2 linked regions of the Arabidopsis thaliana genome follow. The protein of the gene in region 2 interacts with the protein of the main gene of each other region in a pairwise test. Each region holds a gene or a part of one and is shown on either strand. Other genes may lie near its edges.

What was found. The genes of interacting proteins can lie anywhere in the genome.
Region 1: the proteins of LD (region 2) and SUF4 interact in binary tests that used the Arabidopsis thaliana proteins (3 or more experiments, as listed by UniProt).

The regions. Positions count from the first base shown.
Region 1 is NC_003070.9:11,039,754-11,045,622, forward strand, and holds SUF4 (zinc finger (C2H2 type) family protein), read right to left. Parts: upstream 4,021-5,869; 5' UTR 3,841-4,020; coding exon 3,647-3,840; coding exon of another isoform or gene 3,643-3,646; intron 3,196-3,642; coding exon 3,095-3,195; intron 2,860-3,094; coding exon 2,730-2,859; intron 2,264-2,729; coding exon 1,854-2,263; intron 1,761-1,853; coding exon 1,618-1,760; intron 1,505-1,617; coding exon 1,307-1,504; 3' UTR 932-1,306; coding exon of another isoform or gene 860-931; 3' UTR 522-859; downstream 1-521. Other genes in the region: AT1G30960 (GTP-binding family protein), read right to left, coding at 1-224; AT1G30972 (Plant thionin family protein), read left to right, coding at 4,918-5,157. UniProt on the Arabidopsis thaliana protein: Sequence-specific DNA binding factor that recognizes the 5'-CCAAATTTTAAGTTT-3' sequence. Recruits the FRI-C complex to the FLC promoter. Required for FRI-mediated FLC activation, but has no effect on the expression of MAF1, MAF2, MAF3, MAF5, UFC and CO.
Region 2 is NC_003075.7:1,122,929-1,130,413, reverse strand, and holds LD (Homeodomain-like superfamily protein), read left to right. Parts: upstream 1-1,923; 5' UTR 1,924-2,161; coding exon 2,162-2,326; intron 2,327-2,619; coding exon 2,620-2,647; intron 2,648-2,800; coding exon 2,801-2,931; intron 2,932-3,060; coding exon 3,061-3,428; intron 3,429-3,522; coding exon 3,523-3,616; intron 3,617-3,700; coding exon 3,701-3,794; intron 3,795-3,891; coding exon 3,892-4,021; intron 4,022-4,116; coding exon 4,117-4,150; intron 4,151-4,225; coding exon 4,226-4,269; intron 4,270-4,358; coding exon 4,359-4,447; intron 4,448-4,682; coding exon 4,683-5,279; intron 5,280-5,414; coding exon 5,415-5,929; intron 5,930-6,185; coding exon 6,186-6,758; 3' UTR 6,759-6,939; downstream 6,940-7,485. Other genes in the region: CUL1 (cullin 1), read right to left, coding at 1-203, 293-340, 423-608, 783-882, 969-1,099. UniProt on the Arabidopsis thaliana protein: Seems to play a role in the regulation of flowering time in the autonomous flowering pathway by repressing FLOWERING LOCUS C expression.

The DNA of each region.
Region 1 (5,869 bases), on a different chromosome or scaffold from region 2:
TTCACGGAATCTACATTGGAATCGTCGATTGGGTATTGACTACTATCGAAAACAGAGTCGCTGCTTGATCCGTCTTCATTGATGGAAGTGGGTTCGTCTAGATTCGGCTGCGCTGAGTAAAATCGGCGGAGAAAGTTTTGTGCTTGATGGGGATTACGAGGTGTTGTCTTCGTCGTCGTTCGTGAGATGGAAATTAGTATACGTAGAGATCTAAAAGCTTTCATTTTTGTAACAATGGCGAAGTAGCGATCTCGGAGAAGTACAGATTTGAACGAAATGTAACAGAAGAGGCTTCCGAGGGTTTTAGAGGTTTTGATGTTTTGGGGAAGTGGTGACAAAGTAACTCAATATTACAGATAGGCCCCTCACTTTTTGACAAATCCAACGTAGTCCCTAACTTTGTATTCGATATAATTACTACTAGCAAAGTAGCAATACAACAAAAATTCATACTAATCGTATCAATTGGAGTTTGAATATACAGTTAATGGAAGGAATATTAGTCAATTTTGTTTTGGCAAAATATTGAACAACATGGTGCAAACATTTTGGGTGAATCTGTATAATATAATACTTTGATCAATTCAGAAGAAAAGGAGACAAAGTTCTTCCTCCAAGTCTCCAACGACCAAAAAAAAAAAGGACTAAACTTCTGAGAAAAAACATCTCTGAGATCCCTAAACAATGTAATGGTAAACTAACTCACCTGGCTAAAGAATACAACAGATGGAAAGTTAATAACTTAAAATCAGATCATAAATTCAGTATCTGAACAAAAGTGAGTGAAGACTTGTTGTTGTAACAAAGCCTTCATCCATATCGCCTTTTCTTTGACGCTGGTTTGGTTTGGTGCCAAATTCTAAAACGCCATCCGCCCAGCAAGCCTACTCTCTGAGATTCGTCTGTCTATCGCTGCATTTATCGAGTTCATCTGCAAACCAAAAGAAACAAACTTGGTGTTGAGTTAAGAAGTTGGATGCTTTATTTTGAAAGAGTTAAGTGCGTATTGTTTTGGTTCCCCAAGGCAGTGAGATTGTGCAAAGGTACCAAACTTTGCAGAGTTAAGAATATAAAAAGAGCTGACCTGGGTTTGAAACCAAACCTGTAGAGTATGATCTTGTGGAACCAATCACCACATTTTTAATACAATACAATAGACAGGAAATATAATGAAAAACAAACAGATACAAACGCTATGTTTCTCACTACCTACTATTGCAAGCTACAAATGATACCTTTCGAACATTGATTCAAAATGCTCAAGTTTCTTGCCTAAGTCCTTCTTATCATATTCTAAGGGAAGAAATTATAAACTGAATAATACGGTGGTACCTCTTAGCACAGAAACAATAGGATCTGGAACAGAAATGTATAAATAAAGCCTACCGAATGGGTTAGACTTGCAAAAGCAAACTCTTCTTAACTTTAAAAAGGGTAAATCAGAACTTACCTGGCTGGTTTCATCGTGCACTTTGTATTTTGGTAAGGACATTCTTCTTTCCTCCTGCAGATACAGACACATTGCGTCAGATTGGAAAACCAAATGGTTCATTACTCGAAACTTTTCCAATTGTAACCATTCCAACATGATGCATAAGAAATTAGGAATAAACTAACCATAGACATCGCTTCATCATCCCATACAAGATAGACCTCATTAGGCTGATTGCTAGGAGCTTTGTTTGCAATTACAGGAGGTGGACCAATTGAAGGACCGCTAGTGTTTGGGCCAGAGGCATAAGAATGAGCATTAGTCCCACCTACGGCAACAAAACATGAAAAAGATATTACAATTTGATACAAAACAGCTAAACCAAATGTAAGTCAATGATTCTACGAACTTGGGATTGAACCTGGAATAGAATTGTTAGGCGGATAAGCATCTGCTGATCCTAAAGCATCTGCATGAGATGGTTGCTGAGCCCCACCAACAGGCAGAGGAGCAGAAAATGGTGGAGCTTGAGAAGGAATGCTGTTATTCACAACAGGGAACAGAGGTTGAGGAACTGGCATTGCAGGTGATGATGTAGGAATTCCAGGAGGAGTTACTCCAGTGACTGGTGATGGTTGTATGGCAGGAGCTGAGGTTGGAGTTGGAGTCATCCCCATATTTTGAACAGGAAAAAGTGGTTGTGGTCGATACCCTAAATGGGCAGCTGGAGGTACAGAAAGAGCTGGATTTTGAGGATACCATTGTTGCGGACGAGGAGGTGGCATTTGCCATACAGGAGCAGGATGACGCATAGGAGGACCCGGATAATACCTGCTAACACGAAATATTTTATCATGGTCAATAGCCATACATATTACAATATCTAAGATCATGAACTATTTCAAAAAACTGTTTACTACAGGTGTTATTGTGGTCTTGAAGAGGAGCAAAAGAATGGTTCTAGGACAAAGTTCTATCCTGAAAAATCACGAGAACAAGCTAGGGAAACTAAGAACCTTATGGGTCATAGTTGGTTAAGTGCAACAATATCTTAGATAACGATCTATTTCAAAAAATGTTTACTACGGGTGTTATAGTGGTCTTATAGAAGAACAAAAGTAGAAAAGTTCTAGGACAGAGACAAACTAAAGAAACCAAGAACCTTTTGCATCAAGAGAACTAAAAGAAAAAAAGTTCCCCATCATTTAGCATGGATCGGATTTTTAAAAACAGAGACAACATCTAAGAATTCAACAAGTAACGGCCATAGAGAGAGTATAGTATAATTAGTACATACATTGGTCGTGCAGGTACAGCACCAGGTACTTGTTGAGGCGGATATACCATTCCATATGGTCTAGGAACTACACCACCAAGAGGGGCAGAAGGAATCTCAACTTTTGCAACTTTGGCTGGAGGCTCATCCTCTGCAGAAAACATGACTTCAGTTCAAAAGGTACCATATGAAACAAGCAAACATAACAATAATATATAATAACTTTGATAAGGCAAAAAGCCGCATGCAAAATCAAAACGAATTCATGACCACTAGATGCAATAGATCTACAACACTTGATGAAGAGACATACAAATTTATCGCCTTACTTCTCTAAATCAATTGCTCATAATCTAAACAGTACTCTCACTATCTCAAATGCATACCTTCTTCTCCATAATGAGCAGTCAAGACATGGGGTGGAATTCCTTGCATTCCATATATTTCAATATCAGTTGAATCTCGACCGTCTTTAGCATTAGGAACTCTGGTGTGAAAATTGTAGATAATTTCAAAGTTAGTAGTGTCATGGAATCAAATTCCAAATTCAACAGGCAAACACATTGAACAGTACCACAAATTCCAAGAAAAACCTATCAAGCAAAAGCAAAAGCAAAAGACTGTTTCTTTACAAAAATTGCAATCAGAAATTAGGGTTTATGACCAGACATATACAAATTAACCAAACCCATTCAAGAGATAATCCAAAAAAACGATTCAAATTCCAGCAAACATACACAATCAACCGATTCAAACCACAACACAACAGTCACAATTAGCGCAATCTAACAGAAATCAAACGACAATCACACACAACAAGAGCAAAAAAAAAATCAGAACTTGAACAAAGATCATAGAGGCAACAACCCTAATATTCCAAATCAACCTAACACAACAAAAAGAGCCATAGGGAAAGGGTAAAAAGAAAAGGCACATACTTTGTAACATTCTCTTTATGAACCTGAAGAACATGAATCACCATGCCACTAGCTGTAGAAAGCTTCTTATGACAGACATGACACTTAAAGTGCTTAGCTTTCTGATGCTGCACAAGAATCTTCTCATCATCAAACTCTCTATCGCAGTAATAACACCACACCTTCTCTGTAGCTCTCTTCTTCTTCTTACCCATCACTAAATCTTTCTCCTATTTGTTGATTTCAAGATTTGATCTCAAAATTGAAATCTCCAATCTCTCAAAAGTCTCGTTCTTTGTCTCCTTCCTCCGCTCGCTAGGGTTTCTAATTGGTACAAAGCGTTTTCTCGATTTCTTCTACGATCTTCAGATTCTCTGTTTTTTATTTATTTTTACTTTATCTAATGGTTACTATCTTGTATTTATAAGAAAAGGTACTTTCTTGTGTAATATTTCGTAAAGAACCCATAACTCTTGTTTAATTATATATTTTTCCAAAATGCTTAGTAAGTTATATAATGATACTATTAGTATTGGTTATGTTATCCGTTAGGATGGTCAAGTGGTCTAAGAGCAACCTCATTAGACAACTTTTTATAGATGTTTTTAGTATAAATAAATAATAAAATTAAAGACATTTCACTTTTGTTGTGTTTAAAGTGTCTCTACAGAAACACAAATCTCAAACTAAAAACATTCATAATTTTTTTATTATTATTATTTATAGTTTTATATTTAAAGACATCTACATATAAGTGACCAATGTGGATGCTCTAAGGCCTTAGACTCAAGTTTTGGTCCTCGTAAGAGGGTGTGGGTTCAAACCCCACTTCTGACATAATTTTTTATTCTTTCAAGAGTTAATTTTCTTTGTCCAATGAAATCTCAAATTAACTTAATCTCAAATTAACTTAAAATAAACTGTGAGAAAACAGAAGAAGATTAACCAACAAAGTAAGTAATCTCTCTTACAAAGAAACTTTGACCAGAAAAAAGGAATCCATGTAACAGATAAGAAGAAGAGACTATAAGAGCTAAGAATTACATAACTATTAGAAAAGATTATAAATAGAGAAAAAAACAGAAGAAGATTAACCAAAAAAGTAACTAGTCTCTATTACAAAGAAACTTTGACCAGGAAAAAAAAAGAAGAGCAATTCCTATAACAAATAAGAAGAAGAGACGATAAGAGCTAAGAATTAGATAACTATTAGAAAAGATTATAAATAGAGGATAGCTATTCATTATTTCTTAAGTACATGAAACACTTGCAACAACAAAAAAGTTAAAGATATGGGTGCTAAATGGAATTCAATGATTATAATGGTGTTTGTGGTGACAATGGTTATAGCAATGGAAAATGTCAATGGAGAGACGAAAGCTCAATGCCATGAAGATTGCATTCTAGGTTGTGCCACCACAGGAAGAATTCCGATCACGTGCCTTCAGAATTGTTACCGTCGATGTCCCGGCAAACCTCGTCGTACATTAGGTAACCATTTTTCAGAAGGTAAAAACAAACAAACAATCTAACAATTTTGGAAATATGTCAAAGAAAATCTATTTTAATGATTATTGAGATTTTTACTAACTATATAAAATATATTCCCCTTTGTATAAATAAATTTGAAGTAAGTTTGACTAGTGTAATAATAATAATAGATTAACAATGGAATGTTCAAATGATTGAACGGTATGCTAATGTTTCGAAAATGTGGTGAAAAATAAAATAGCAACATAACGTTTTGAAATAGTAAAATTTTGAGATATATTTCGGTAATAAAGTGTTTTAAATCTTAGAAACATCATTGTCACTGTTTAGGTATACATATAGTCCTGAAAATATTATTTTTTAAATTAAACTCAAGAGATTATTTGGAAAAACTAAAGGTTAAAATAATCGATGGTTCTAATTTGTATAGTGGAAGCGCAGAAATAGAAGAGACGATGAGTCATGAATCAGTGTTGGACTCTTGGGACTTTTAAACTAGCTCTTCTTCTACTTTTGTATCCTCCTTATGTAATATGATCATTGTAAATTTGTAACGCTATTAAATAAAATAAAATAAAATTTGTCCCATGTTATAAATTTCTCTTGACTGTAAACACGTCTCTGTTTAACAGTTTAAGACTCCTCTTAGATTCGAATCTCATATTTCATAATTTTGGAAGTGACATGTAGCGGCTTATTGATTTTCTTGATTCATATTTTTTATTTTAGTTATTTCAAAGTGTGATACCTTGT
Region 2 (7,485 bases):
TTCAACATGTAATCAGGGCAAGAATCTTCCTGAATCCAGCTTGATGCCTTGCGAGAATAATACGAAGAAGTATCTTGAAGCATGAAGCTTTCAAAATCTTCTTCATACCTCTCCATCTGCCCCATTCCAATCTCTACATAGATATCTAATACGTTTTTCAGCAGGGCCCTATCAATCTGCTCGCCCTCCCGTTCTTTATCAACCTGACAGAAGAACAGGTCATGTTAGACCTTGAATCAGGCAAAAGCCAGAGTTGGATGTAACTGCACAACAATATTGACGCCATACTTACAAGAGCTATTACAGCTTGTTTGACCTTAGAATGTAGCTCATTATAAACCTGAAGCGAACAGAATCAAGGAAAAGTTAAAAATATTTCAATACAACTGAAAGCTATAAAGCCACAGGAATGAATGCCATACCAGGTCACGGAAGCATGTCAGGCCAACTTCATTCAGTGGTGGAAGTGATCTCCGAGCAATGAAGTAACGGTCAAGGTAGTAGAAGAAGCGGGATAGCCATCTGACCATTACTTTATGGTTTGACCATCTTTTAAATAGCTCCCGCAGCATAAACTCATCATGCTTCTCCCTCAACGCAGGCAAAACCTAACCACAGACAACAAGAGAGCAAACATTCAAAACCGTTTGAATCAACTTAAAACCAAGAGGGGACAGGACTTCTTGACATATGAAACCATGCACAAAAGTGGCATCTTAAAATTCAGAGGTAGTAAAAACGAGAAGTTTATAAGAAAGAAACTAAATATCAATCAGACTCACTGTTGAGTTAATATATTCCTCAAATGCTTCCCGATACTTGTCATAAAGCTGCTGTGAGTAATCATGAGGAGGTTTCTGGGTGCACATGTTGTAGATAGTCCTGAGAATCAAATAAATTCCCCATCATAAGTATCAGGACAAACAGCCAAACCGCTATATAAGGTAATAAACAAGTATAAAACCTACGTATAAAGCATCATATATTGCTCAGAGTCAAATGCTGGCTCATTCAATCCTTCCAGAATCCGTTTCAGCTTAGTAATTCCAGTCTGCATATAGTCCCATCCTTGCTCCAAGTCAATAGTCTTGCGCTCCATGTTGACAAACAACTTTTCAAGCTCTCCTCAACCTAAGTTAACCAAAGAACAAGGAGAAAACCAAAATTTAGAACAGCAGTATTAAGCAACACAATGAAATGACTGAAGCGAGAGAGTCAACAATATTTATCATTCTTCAGAGGTTATAATAACACGTTAACACCCACATTATCGAATGCGAAACGAGTATTATCACCCAAATCAAACCCAAACTATCAGATTGTGCGCAAACGAGGACATAAGCATCAGAATATACTCGAGAAACAATCAATCCATGAGATAAACACGAAATTACACAGTAGAAACGCAATCCAGAGACTCCGACGTAACCCTAACAATCTCGATCCCACAAAAATTCAAATAAAAACCTAGAAAGACGAACAATCAACAGAATGATAAAAAAATCAACTGTCGTATGGAACAAAACAAGCGAGAATCCGACAGAAATAGTGATACCTCGAGATCTTAAACCCTAATAATCAGAAAATCGCGTCGCCGTACCCCAAACAGACCCTGACGATTACCGATTCCCGATTACACAGGATCGGCGAGAGCTGCTGCGATCGAAAAAGAAGCGAGAGAGAGAGAGAATCAAAACCCTAAGAATCGTTCAGGAAAAAAGCGTAAAATAGAGAGAAAGAGAGACGAGACCTATGAGAAGGGCGGTGAAAAGATATCTCAGGAAACAAACTCGTTCTCTTCTATTCTATTATTTTCAGGTCTTATAGATTTAATTATTTTTATTTTATGTCAACTAATATATTAGTATAATATTAAACAAATTTAATTTCTTACCTTTTCAGAGATCTACATCAAGACGCTGCGTTTTATAATTTTTCTTTGTAAAGTAACTTATTTACTTTTATGCCCCTTTATTTTGCCTTCCTTACTCAAACCCTAACCCGAATCGGCTTTTTGACAATCCGAAATTAGGTAACCATGTTCATTGAATTTATCGTTTCAACACATTCGAATCACTGAGTCCTACGTTTCAGTTTAATTCCCTGATGCACATTTTGAATTCGGTTTGCGTATTGGTCTTCGAGTTTTCCGTCGGCGGCCATGGACGCGTTCAAGGAGGAGATAGAAATCGGGAGCTCGGTGGAGTCTTTAATGGAGCTATTGGATTCGCAGAAGGTGCTTTTTCATAGCCAGATCGATCAGCTCCAAGATGTCGTCGTTGCGCAATGCAAACTTACCGGCGTTAATCCCCTTGCGCAAGAAATGGTGGGTTATTGTTTCTATGTTTTTTGGTATCTAAAGTTCGTGTTTTATTGGGGTATGGTGATATGGGCAAAGCTGAGAGGGACAGGTCATTCGGATTTTGGAATAAATTCTTTGAAGGGTATTGAGTCTAGCAAAAATTAGAGGTGTTTTTGGTATAAATTCATATAGCTCGACCTCTCCGTTTCTTCTGTGAACTGTAATGGTGATGCTTCAACTGTTTATATGTCATTTCTCTGATCAAGTAATCATCTCTGTTAAAGACATTAATCTGTTTAATTTTTTTGTTGTTTCAGGCTGCTGGTGCTTTGTCCATTAAAATTGGTGAGTCATCTTAGGATTCGTGAGATCTTTTGGCATAATTACGTATATCACAGAGAATGTTTCAATTCATTGTTGCTCTCTAGGTTCATTAAAGGCATACCCAACTTTTACGTGCTCGATGCCTAGTATCTGATGAATTTGTAAATATTTCAGGAAAGCGGCCAAGAGACTTGTTGAATCCTAAGGCTGTTAAGTATCTACAAGCAGTTTTCGCAATTAAAGATGCTATTAGTAAGAGGGAATCTCGGGAGATAAGTGCTTTATTTGGCATCACAGTCGCCCAGGTATTGTTCTTCTACATGATATGTACTCTTTTTTGCCATGCTTTTAGAATTCCATGTCAGTTTAGATCTGTCATGTTGAGGTACTCATGAGACTTTGGTTTGTCTCTTTATTATTTTCTTCAATGGCAGGTTCGAGAATTTTTTGTTACTCAAAAGACAAGAGTGAGGAAACAGGTGAGGCTTTCAAGGGAGAAAGTAGTTATGTCCAATACGCATGCTTTACAAGATGATGGTGTTCCGGAAAATAACAATGCCACAAATCATGTTGAACCCGTTCCCTTGAACTCTATACATCCGGAGGCATGTTCTATAAGCTGGGGTGAAGGTGAAACAGTGGCACTTATTCCACCTGAAGATATTCCACCTGACATCAGCGATTCAGACAAATACTTTGTTGAGAATATATTTTCTCTGCTGCGTAAAGAGGAAACATTTTCAGGCCAGGTGAAACTAATGGAGTGGATCATGCAGATACAAGATGCTTCTGTGCTGATCTGGTACTAGTTGGGGGTTCTCTTTCACCCACTGTCTTATTTTATTTTATTGTTATTATATTCCCGTCTTGACAGTCATTTTCTATATGTGCCACAGGTTTTTATCAAAAGGAGGGGTTTTGATACTTACAACATGGTTAAGTCAAGCTGCTAGTGAAGAGCAAACAAGTGTCTTACTTCTTATCCTGAAGGTACGAGATTAATTTACTTGCAGCTGGATGGCTGTAAAAATATGCAGATTGTTTTATTATGGATAATTGACATTTAACACGCAGGTTCTTTGTCATTTACCTCTCCACAAAGCATCTCCTGAAAATATGTCTGCCATATTACAAAGCGTTAATGGACTTCGTTTCTATAGGATATCAGGTGTAATTTCTGAAAAACCTAAATGCTGCGTAGCTTTCATCAATGCCAAAGTTCTTGTTGTGATTTATTCGATTTCATCATCTGATTTGAAGATCAGACATATCAAACAGGGCAAAAGGTTTGTTATCAAGGTGGACCAAGTTATTTGCGAAAATCCAAGCTATGAAGAAACAAAATCGTAACAGTTCGCAAATTGATTCGCAGAGTCAATTGCTTCTGAAACAGAGGCAAGTTTTGGTTTATGTGTCGAATAATACTTATTTTACCTCTCATTTTGTTGTTTAGTGACATTTTACTCATAGACTTCTGTCTTGTTATGCAGTATTGCTGAAATCATGGGTGATAGTAGCAATCCTGTAAGTGGTGCAAAACATGAATTTATTTCTATTACGTGCATCAGTTCCTTAAAACCGTTTTTCGTGTCGTAACAGGAAGATATTCTTAGTCTCTCAAATGGAAAGTCAGAGAATGTCAGGTATCAGTTTGATTGTTAAATTCCATCTAGAACAGGTTCCCTTTTGATAGTTAGGTGGTTTCATAATTACTAGTTATCTTCTGGTACAGGAGGATTGAATCGTCACAGGGTCCAAAACTGTTGCTTACTTCTGCAGATGATTCCACCAAGAAACACATGCTTGGTTCAAATCCATCGTGTATCCTTTCGTTTGAGCTCTTTTATTAAAAAGCACCAGTTGATTTACATTTTCTCAATGCATTGGATAAGTTAACGTATTGAACTTGTTGGCTACTTCTGTTATTTAGTCGGTATTTTACATGTGAAACCTGCTATGTCAAGAGAGCAACCAAATATTCCACATCATGTTATAGTCCTTTTCCTAGCTCAGGATAATCCTTCACTTCAAAGTTAGTTTCCTTAGCTTTCAGCAGATAACAAAGAACGCAGGAAAGTACAGATGGTGGAACAACCAGGCCAAAAAGCTGCTGGAAAGAGTCCGCAGACAGTAAGAATAGGAACTTCAGGTCGAAGCCGCCCAATGTCTGCTGATGATATTCAGAAAGCAAAGATGCGTGCCCTTTATATGCAGAGCAAGAACAGTAAAAAGGATCCTTTACCAAGTGCCATTGGTGATTCGAAAATCGTTGCTCCTGAGAAGCCCTTGGCTCTTCATTCAGCCAAGGATTCTCCACCTATTCAGAACAATGAAGCTAAGACTGAAGACACACCTGTACTCTCGACTGTTCAGCCCGTCAATGGATTTTCAACTATTCAGCCCGTCAATGGACCTTCAGCTGTTCAGCCCGTCAATGGACCTTTGGCTGTTCAGCCTGTCAATGGACCTTCGGCTCTTCAGCCCGTCAATGGACCTTCGGCCGTAATTGTCCCGGTACAAGCTGATGAAATTAAAAAACCTTCAACACCTCCTAAAAGCATTTCTAGTAAGGTGGGAGTTATGATGAAAATGAGTTCACAAACTATTCTCAAGAATTGCAAGAGAAAACAGATTGATTGGCATGTACCACCAGGTAATATCATTCGTTGGATTTATATCTCGTTGGCCACTTATTGAATAAGCTGAATGTGACTCTTTAGGGTCTTCTTTGGTTCACTTCTATTTTGGTGGTTAGTTAGGACTCATTCTAATGCCTAGTTTTCTTCAGGAATGGAACTTGACGAACTCTGGAGAGTAGCCGCTGGTGGTAATAGCAAGGAGGCTGATGTTCAGAGAAACAGAAACCGGCGAGAAAGAGAAACAACATATCAGTCTCTTCAAACTATACCGTTGAACCCTAAAGAACCATGGGATAGGGAAATGGACTATGATGACAGTTTGACCCCTGAAATTCCATCTCAACAGCCACCAGAAGAAAGTTTAACGGAACCACAGGATTCACTTGATGAACGAAGAATTGCTGCTGGTGCTGCCACAACCTCTTCATCTCTAAGCAGTCCTGAACCTGATCTCGAGTTATTAGCTGCGTTACTTAAGAACCCAGATCTTGTTTATGCACTAACTTCGGGAAAACCCAGTAATTTAGCCGGCCAAGATATGGTAAAACTGCTTGATGTGATTAAGACTGGTGCACCAAACTCAAGCAGTAGCTCAAATAAACAGGTTGAAGAAAGGGTCGAAGTTTCCCTTCCATCTCCCACTCCATCAACTAATCCTGGAATGGTGCGTTACTTGAAACCTATTCACCCCAAATTCCTCGGACATATCCAAAACCCTATTAATAGATCATGTTGCCAAATTGAATCTCACGACATATAGAAAAAAGGAAAGAACTACAACAGGCTCTAGCTAACACCAAACTGGATTATGAATTCCAGCTGTTAGATCTAACCTGATGAGTACAATGCCCCCATTAGAAGATGTTAATGTCTGTTTCTTATTCTCTTACTGAGTTAAGTGTATTGTTCCAATTTTACAGAGTGGATGGGGACAAGAAGGGATTCGGAATCCATTTTCAAGGCAAAACCAAGTTGGTACTGCAGTTGCTAGATCGGGTACACAGCTTCGTGTTGGTTCAATGCAATGGCATCAAACAAATGAACAATCAATCCCACGACATGCTCCATCAGCATACAGTAACTCGATCACATTGGCTCACACAGAAAGAGAACAGCAACAATATATGCAACCAAAACTTCATCACAATTTACATTTTCAACAACAACAACAACAACCAATCTCAACAACCTCGTATGCAGTTAGGGAACCAGTAGGACAAATGGGAACAGGTACATCGAGTTCATGGAGGAGTCAGCAGAGTCAGAACAGTTACTACTCACATCAAGAAAACGAGATTGCATCGGCTTCACAAGTTACTTCATACCAAGGGAATAGCCAGTACATGAGTAGCAATCCAGGATATGAATCATGGAGTCCTGATAATAGCCCAAGTAGGAACCAGCTTAACATGAGGGGACAACAACAACAAGCATCAAGGAAACATGATTCTTCTACTCATCCATATTGGAACCAAAACAAAAGATGGCGTTAAACCATATATAAGACTATGGTTCTTTGGTCCTCAATATTTGCTTGTCATGGTTGAATTAGCATTATACTCTGTTCAGACACAGATTTTCATTTTTAACTCACAACAGATTCATCAGAGATAATAAACTAAAAGAAAGAATGAATGGATAAAGTTATTACTGTCTCAATTGGCTTCAAGGCTTTTCAAAAACAAGTCTTGTCTTCATCATTATTCGACTAATTCCAAATCTGATTCAATTTAGTAACAGTAACACTGGCTAAACTGGACTGCTTCGGTAATTGGAGATTTTGGTATACAATATCCATTTCTGTGAAGATTGATAGAATGTGGATACTGTTCTTATTCGTACACAATTTTTGTTTACAAAGGGAACACTATATACTGTTCCTATTGGTACTCTCAGTTTAAACCGATATCTTAACCGGTTGGGATGGATAACCGGGTTTACTTTTGATAACTAAAAGAACCCAGCATATAGTTTAAGGCCACAATCTCAACTTGCAAATACAGAGTTAACAGCCGTTTAATTATCGTTCTTATGATTTGTTCTTTGTTAAATGATAGGTCAAAAATTATTTATGTCTTTTCTAATTTCATAACTGTGAATGTTTATTGAATCCACATTACTCGTCACCGAACTAAGTAAGCAGTCTCTAAATTAAGACGGTGATAGACAGTGCTCTTCATAAATCGTTCATAAGTCGTTCAAACTTGTATTAGCCAAATC